2 linked regions of the Xenopus tropicalis genome follow. The protein of the gene in region 2 binds, or shares a complex with, the protein of the main gene of each other region. Links are inferred from orthologs where the notes say so. Each region holds a gene or a part of one and is shown on either strand. Other genes may lie near its edges.

Region 1 (3,656 bases), on a different chromosome or scaffold from region 2:
CAATCAGTCATAGATGTATTGCAAAGTGGTCACTTGTGCTAGAATGGGCAAAAGCCAGAAATTAGAGCAGGTTAAATCTGTCTGCTCACAGCATGAGTGCATTGTTTACATTTTTTTTCTGGTAAGAAACTCGCTCTTTTTTTTTATAAGCAACTGTAAGAAAATAATTGCTGTTTGTGAAAATATACTTATTAAACATCTACTCAAATGCATTTTTTATGCTTTACCTTTCAATTCACATTTTTATTGAATTATTTTCAATTACTGGGGATGGTGTAGGTGGCCACCTGTGATGGATTTGGTTAATTTTATTTCAAATACTAAAATATTTTATTTAGGGATGACATTGCAGATTTGGAGGAAGCCAAGAAACTGTTAAAGGAAGCAGTGGTACTTCCAATGTGGATGCCAGAGTTCTTTAAAGGCATAAGGAGACCATGGAAGGTAATAAAGATTTAAAGATTTTTAATGTTGTATGTTTTTCATTTATACAGTTGTTGGGGGACAGTTTTATTTCCAGTAGTTTTTCAGTGCAGTGTGAGAACTTCTAATTTATTTATTTTTTTTTATATATACTTTTTCCATGATATTAGTGAGTTACAGTATGATAAAAAAAAACTTATTGGGAATAAAATATATAATGTGCTAATATACTATTGGCAGAGATGTTATACAGTTGAATTATACAGTCAAGACACAAGTACTTATATATATTCCATTCTCCTAACTTCTTACATTTTTTTAGTTTGTGAGAATGTTTTTGTTGTTTGTCATTGAGTAACCAAAAACAACACAAAAGAGTTAAATAATGCCCTTTTCTCTTTTGGTAGACCGATTGCATTGAAGCTGTTTTATTTCTGTCTTTGTACAATATATTTTTCTTTGAATAAAATACATGGACTAGAAGAAAACTGGAATTCAACTGAAACAATAAAATTATAACCTCACAACTTTAAAGGAGAAGGAAAGGCAAAGTCACTTGGGGGTGCCAAAATGTTAGGCACCCCCAAGTGACTTTAATTGCCTACCTTTTACCCCGGGCTGGTGCCCTTGTTAGGAGAGAACAGCACCAGCCCGGGGTAGCTGCCAGCGCTTCCTTGTTCCTGCCTTGCCACGCGCACATGCGCAGTAGAGTGAAAAGCTGAACTTTAACAGAGGAGTCGGCTTTTCACTCTACTGTGCATGCGATTGTCCGGGACATTCGGCAGCAGCGCGAGTAGGAAGGAGAAAGCGCTCTGGACAGGTACCCCGGGCTGGTGCTGTTTTCTCCCAACAGGGGCACCAGCCCCGGGGTACAAGGTAGGCGATTTAAGTCACTTTGTGGTGCCTGACATTTTGGCACCCCCAAGTGACTTTGCCTTTCCTTCTCCCTGCAGGTTCCCCAGCCAGCCGTGTCCCCTACCCCCCCCCCCCCCCCCGCAGGGCCCCCACCTGACGTCCTCCCCGAGCGAGTATAAATTGAATGTGTAAGGGGAGGAACAGTCAGAAAGGGGAGCGCCGGCAAAGGTCGGACTGGGCCGCCGGGGTGCACCGGGATTTTTCCCAGTGTCCCAGCGGCCCAGTCCGACCCTGGTCACACTTTACTGCTGAGCTGCAAGTTGGAGTGATATCACCCCCCCTCACAGCAGCCGATAAGCAGAACAATGGAAAGGTAGCAAGATAGCAGCTCCCAGTAGATATCAGAAAAGTTCTCAATAGTAAGAAATCCAAGTCCGGTTTGCTACACCTCCAGTTACATGGGGGTAGGAGAAATAATTGGTTGCCTGAAAGCAGTTCTAATGTGTAGTGCTGGCTCCTTCTCAAAATCAGGCCCAAGACTGCCTACACACCAATATTACAACTAAAAAAAAATACATTTGTTGGTTCAAGAATAAAATTTTAAATGGCAGAGTGAATTATTTGCTATGTAAACAGTGTAATTTAGAAATAAAAAGTAAACCATAAAAATCATGACAGTATCCCTTTAAAAGGAGTAGTTTACCCTGCTGGAACACGGTGTAAAGTGTAAAATAGGCATAAACAGATATGTCTTTTGTTTACCGTGCTCCTTGATGAGCCCCAAGGTAGCACTGCAATCAGGGATGTGGCTAAAAGTGGGTAACACGTAGGCATCACCTGCAATGCCCTGTTAGCTTAAATTTCATTCATAATATGAATGAGCCAGAGAGCCTGTGTTAATTTCTCTCTAGCTTTGCTCCCTTTAACTCTCCAGCACCCATAGTACAGGTATGGGATCTCTTATCCGGAAACCCGTTATCCAGAAAGCTCCGAATTCCGGAAAGCCCGTCTCCCATAGACTCCATTCAGAATTTTAAAACTGATTTCCTTTTTCTCTGTAGTATAAAAACAGTACCTTGTAATTGATCCCAACTAAGATATAATAAATCCTTATTGGATGCAAAACAATCCTGTTAATGTTTTATTAATTTTTTAGTAGATTTACGGTATGGGGATCCAAATTACAGAAAGACCTCTTATCTAGAATACCCTTGGTCTCAAGCATTCTGGATAATGGGTCCTATACCTCTATTGGTAACTAGGTCCTAAAACATGTTGGTAGAAAAATTAGCGAAAACTTTTTTGTGCATTTCTATTGTAATTCATTATTGTAATTGCATTAAAACTGTTTGCATAAAATTCTTGTTTATTAAATGTTTTATTATAATAAAAAAAAATGCCAATAGTGGGACCTTCATGGATTTTTATTAAAAATGTTTTTTCTTCTCATTTATTTCCAAGGGAGTGCTAATGGTTGGGCCTCCGGGAACAGGGAAGACTCTCTTAGCCAAGGCAGTTGCCACAGAGTGCAAAACAACATTTTTTAATATTTCCTCATCTACACTTACATCCAAATACAGAGGAGAATCTGAGAAACTAGTACGTCTGTTATTTGAAATGGTGAGTACTTAAATATAATAAACAAAGTCAGTAAAATGTAATAAGTAGAATTGTATGGTGTTGTATTCAGTTATGCGGGGCAATTCAGAACTGATGTGGCCTTCTGGCTAGTGCAGAGAGAGCAATTGCATTCTTTGCACCAGAGAAATCTCCAGTTATAAAGGAAAATTTCAGTTACTTCTAGTGACTTGCTACACACTGCAAACTAAGGCAAGGTTCCCACCTTGCCACATGGCCCCACGTTGTCACGTTTAAAGGAGAATGCAAGTCAAAATTTAAAAAGCATACTGCCCAATAGTCCTCCTATTGATTAGTAAATAAAACACCTAATCAAATATTTACTCAGTCACTCATACTTCACATTTTCTAGAACAGGCAGCCATCTCTAAAAAGGTATTCTCCCATCTTTTCCCTCCTTGCTTCATACTGCACATGTGTTTCATTCCCTCCCCCCCTCCCCTCTGGCAGATCGGCTTCTGATTGGCTGGTGGGTATGTGTAGCTCAGAACAGGAGACAGGATCAAGTTACACACATGCTCAGAGAATAGGAAGGCTGCCGCTGGCAGCCTACAGGAAGGACAGATTGATTTCAGTGATGTCACTGTAGTCTTCACACTGCTGTAGGCTGCCAGCACCATATCTCAGAGAAGCAAGCAGAGATCTGGGAATTTAGATATGCAGTAAGTACTTAAAAAAGAATGCCTTTAGACTTACTTTTAATTTATATTAACCTTTCATTGTCCTTTTAAAGTGAATTG
Region 2 (3,656 bases):
TGAATGTGTATACTATGTATTAATTGGTGTAGAAAGTGGTTCCTGAAATATGTAATATTATTATTCCTTTTAGTTCTAAGGACACTAATGGGACACAAAGCCAATGTCTGCAGCCTGGATTTTCATCCTTATGGGGATTTTGTAGCATCTGGGTCCTTGGACACTAACATAAAAGTAAGAACCCATGCAGAATCACTAGAATTGTAAGAGAACACCACACATTGAAAATAGGTTTAAATAAACTTTTATGCTGATCAGAACTTGCATATATAAAAAAAAAACTATAGATCTTGTAAACTTTAAAGTGGTTGCGCCCCCCCCATGAAAAAAAAAATAATTCTAATCAACTTTCCAATATACATTCAAGCAGACCACTGGTCTGAATGCTGGAACTTGCCAGGTGAGTCAGATTTGCAAAAAAAGCATGCAAGGCATAGTAGAAATTGAAGAGCCCCCCATCCCTGACAGGGGAATTTTAATTGGAATAAATAAGTGTTAATTTCATGTATCTGCAAGTTCTGCCCTATATGGTATACCACCATTGTGGGATGTTGAATGCATATCTTGATCCACTGTATGCAGTTATTTATTGGATGTCAGCTGTTTAGGCCTTTTTACAGAATTATACATAATTCTGTTATGCATTGGGATTATTTTGCTGAATATTAGTGTATATATTAGTGTATGAAATTAGACCATTACCATTGTAGCAACAAGTGAAGATATGTATTTCTGACACTGTGTCTATTAGATAGGTCAGGATGATGCAACCCTAGCAAGGGTATAGCTGCATATATATCCACCAGCAACTTGGTATTAAATGGTGGTAACTGCACCATAATTTCTGTGATATTGTTAGGGTAATAACTAGCATGAGCTAGGGCTATAGCAGAAATATGCAAAATCTTAGAATTTTTTTAAATTGAAAAATAATTGGACACTAACATATTATTTGTCCCTAGGCTTATTAAATATTATTGAGATAAGATATTGTATCATTTGTATTTGGGTGTAGGTTTGGTCATCTCCAATAACACCGGGACATACAGTGTATATAAAAAGTCTACACACCCCTGGTAAAATGTCAGGTTCCTGTGCTGTACAAAAATGAGACAAATATAAATAATTTCAGAACTTTTCCACCTTTAATGTGACCTATAAACTGTACCACTCAATTGAAAAACGAACTGAAATCTTTTAGGTGGAGGGAAGAAAACCTAAAAAACTAAAATAATGTGGTTGCATAAGTGTGCACACCCTCTTCTAACTGGGGGTGTAGCTGTGTTCAGAATTAAGCAATCAAATTCAAAATCATGTTAAATAGGAGTCAGCATACACCTGCCATCATTTTAAGTGCCTCTGATTAACCCCAAATACAGTTCAGCTGCTCTAGTTGGTCTTTCCTGACATTTTTTTAGTCGCATCCCACAGCAAAAGCCATGGTCCCCAGAGAGCTTCCAAAGCATCAGAGGGATCTCATTGTTAAAAGATATCAGTCAGGAGAAGGGTACAAAAGAGTTTCCAAGGCATTAGATATACTATGGAACACAGTGAAGACAGTCATCATCAAGTGGAGAAAATATGGCACAACAGTGACATTAACAAGAACTGGACGTCCCTCCAAAATTGATGGAAAACTGGTCAGGGAGGCTACCAAGAGGCCTACAGCAACATTTAAGGAGCTGCAGGAATATCTGGCAAGTACTGGCTGTGTGGTACATGTGACAACCCGTATTCTTCATATATCTGGGCTGTGGGGTAGAATGGCAAGACAAAAGCCTTTTCTTACGAAGAAAAACATCCAAGCCAGGCTACATTTTGCAAAAACACATCTGAAGTCTCCCAAAAACATGTGGTAAAAGGTATTATGGTCTGATGAAACCAAGGTTGAACTTTTTGGCCATAATTCCAAAAAATGTGTTTGGCGCAAAAACAATACTGCACATCACCAAAAGAACACCATACCCACAGTGAAGCATGGTGGTGGCAGCATCATGCTTTGGGGCTGTATTTCTTCAGCTGGAACTGGGGCCTTAGTTAAGATAGAGGGAATTATGAACAGTTCCAAATACAAGTCAATATTGGCACAAAACCTTCGGGCTTCTGCTAGAATGCTGAACATGAGGAGGAACTTCATCTTTCAGCATGACAACGGCCCAAAGAATACATCCAAATCAACAAAGGAATGGCTTCACCGGAAGAAGATCTGACAGATTTGAAGTGTTTCTGCAAAGAAGAGTGGGCAAATCTTGCAAAGTCAAAATGTGCCATGCTGATAGACTCATACCCAAAAAGTGCTGTAATAAAGTCAAAAGGTGTTTCAACAAAGTATTAGTTTAAGGGTGTGCACACTTATGCAACCACATTATTTTAGTTTTTTTGGTGTTCTTCCCTCCCCCTAAAAGATTTCAGTTTGTTTTTCAATTGAGTGGTACAGTTTATAGGTCACATTAAAGGTGGAAAAAGTTCTGAAATTATTTTTTTGTCTCATTTTTGTACAGCACAGGAACCTGACATTTTATCAGGGGTGTGTAGACTTTTTATATCCACTGTATGTGAGATGATTGTAAATGCAAACAGGACTAAAGGATTGCTGTTTGTTAGGCTTGCCTGAAAGGCCATGTTTGCCAATGTTTAAGTTTCCAGGATATCTATTTTCCAAGTGGTAACTGGAGGTTACATTACTTTATGTGATTTATTATTCAGTTAAATTAAAGGGGCAATCAAGTCCTATTTTTAAGCAAAAGCCAGATCAACAGGGGCTGTGCTTTGTCCTTTTTTAAATAGAAATCTATAGTTATTTGTTGCGCTAAAATGCAGTAACATTTAAACTACTTTCATTTTAAATTTGGTCCTTTTGTATTCAAAACAAATATGGGTAGTAGGCTATAAAGGGAGGCTTTGGGTGTTTTGCCTGATAATAAAAGCAGTTTTATTTTACACTTGCTACAGAGTAGTTGTAGGAGGAGAAAATGTATCCTTCCCAGTTAATCCACTTGTAAATTTAACTTCTCCTCCTCCGCTGTCAGACTGAGACAGCAACTGAGGGAAGGGGACAGCTTGTTTATATAGAACACATTATCTCCCTTTAAACTAACTCCCTTTATTTACAAGCGATTGAATGATTGATGTAATTAGGGTCAAAACAAAATAATGACCTATATAGTACCTATATAAGTAAAGTATAGGTAATTTTAAAGAATGAATAGAATGCAAGATATCCAACCTAATATTATAAGAGCCAAAGAGTCCTCTTCTCTCCTTGCCCTTCATATGCATCATTGAGAGGACTATTTGCTCTATTCACAGTATTCTGTAGTTTAACAGTCGAGAATTTGTAATTAATATTTGATAAATGAGACAAAGATGGTTTCATTATATGACATATTTGTAATTCTGCTGGTACTGTATGCACTGATAGGTTAGAGTTTAGTGCTTGAGGAAATATAAATTTCATATATAAATGAAGTTAGTTTAATATTTACATCACTGAACCATTAACAAACTTTTCTTTTGTTCTTTTAGTTATGGGATGTGCGCAGGAAAGGCTGTGTTTTTCGCTATAAGGTACATTCTTTGTGGAGGACATATCTGTATTGAAGCGTATGCAGTAATAACGCATTATCTGAATTTGTCTGAAATATGTGGATGGTTGA

What was found.
Region 1: the proteins of katnb1 (region 2) and katna1 are in contact, whole or in part, in a crystal structure (PDB 5OW5), measured with the Mus musculus proteins. The link is inferred for Xenopus tropicalis from reciprocal best matches to the Homo sapiens genes KATNB1 and KATNA1. Residues at the interface, in NP_083081.2 of Mus musculus: Leu485, Val486, Asp487, Glu488, Ala490, Met491, Gln493, Ile494, Arg495, Gly497, His498, Met501, Phe502, Val504, Leu505, Thr506, Arg508, His509, Leu512, Asp513, Val515, Arg516, Trp519, Thr521, Asp542, Leu543, Ile546, Gln549, Lys550, Leu553; in NP_035965.2 of Mus musculus: Leu5, Gln6, Ile8, Val9, Val12, Arg16, Ala19, Leu20, Leu21, Gly22, Tyr24, Tyr31, Tyr41, Leu50, Lys53, Trp54, Gln56, Val57, Glu60, Ile61, Val63, Glu64, Gln67, Val68, Asp70, Ile71, Thr74, Leu75, Ser77, Phe78.

What each region holds. Positions count from the first base shown.
Region 1 is NC_030681.2:58,161,879-58,165,534, reverse strand, and holds part of katna1 (katanin p60 ATPase-containing subunit A1), read left to right. Parts: intron 1-338; coding exon 339-444; intron 445-2,739; coding exon 2,740-2,898; intron 2,899-3,656. UniProt on the Homo sapiens protein: Catalytic subunit of a complex which severs microtubules in an ATP-dependent manner. Microtubule severing may promote rapid reorganization of cellular microtubule arrays and the release of microtubules from the centrosome following nucleation.
Region 2 is NC_030680.2:76,070,479-76,074,134, reverse strand, and holds part of katnb1 (katanin p80 WD40 repeat-containing subunit B1), read left to right. Parts: intron 1-73; coding exon 74-174; intron 175-3,525; coding exon 3,526-3,567; intron 3,568-3,656.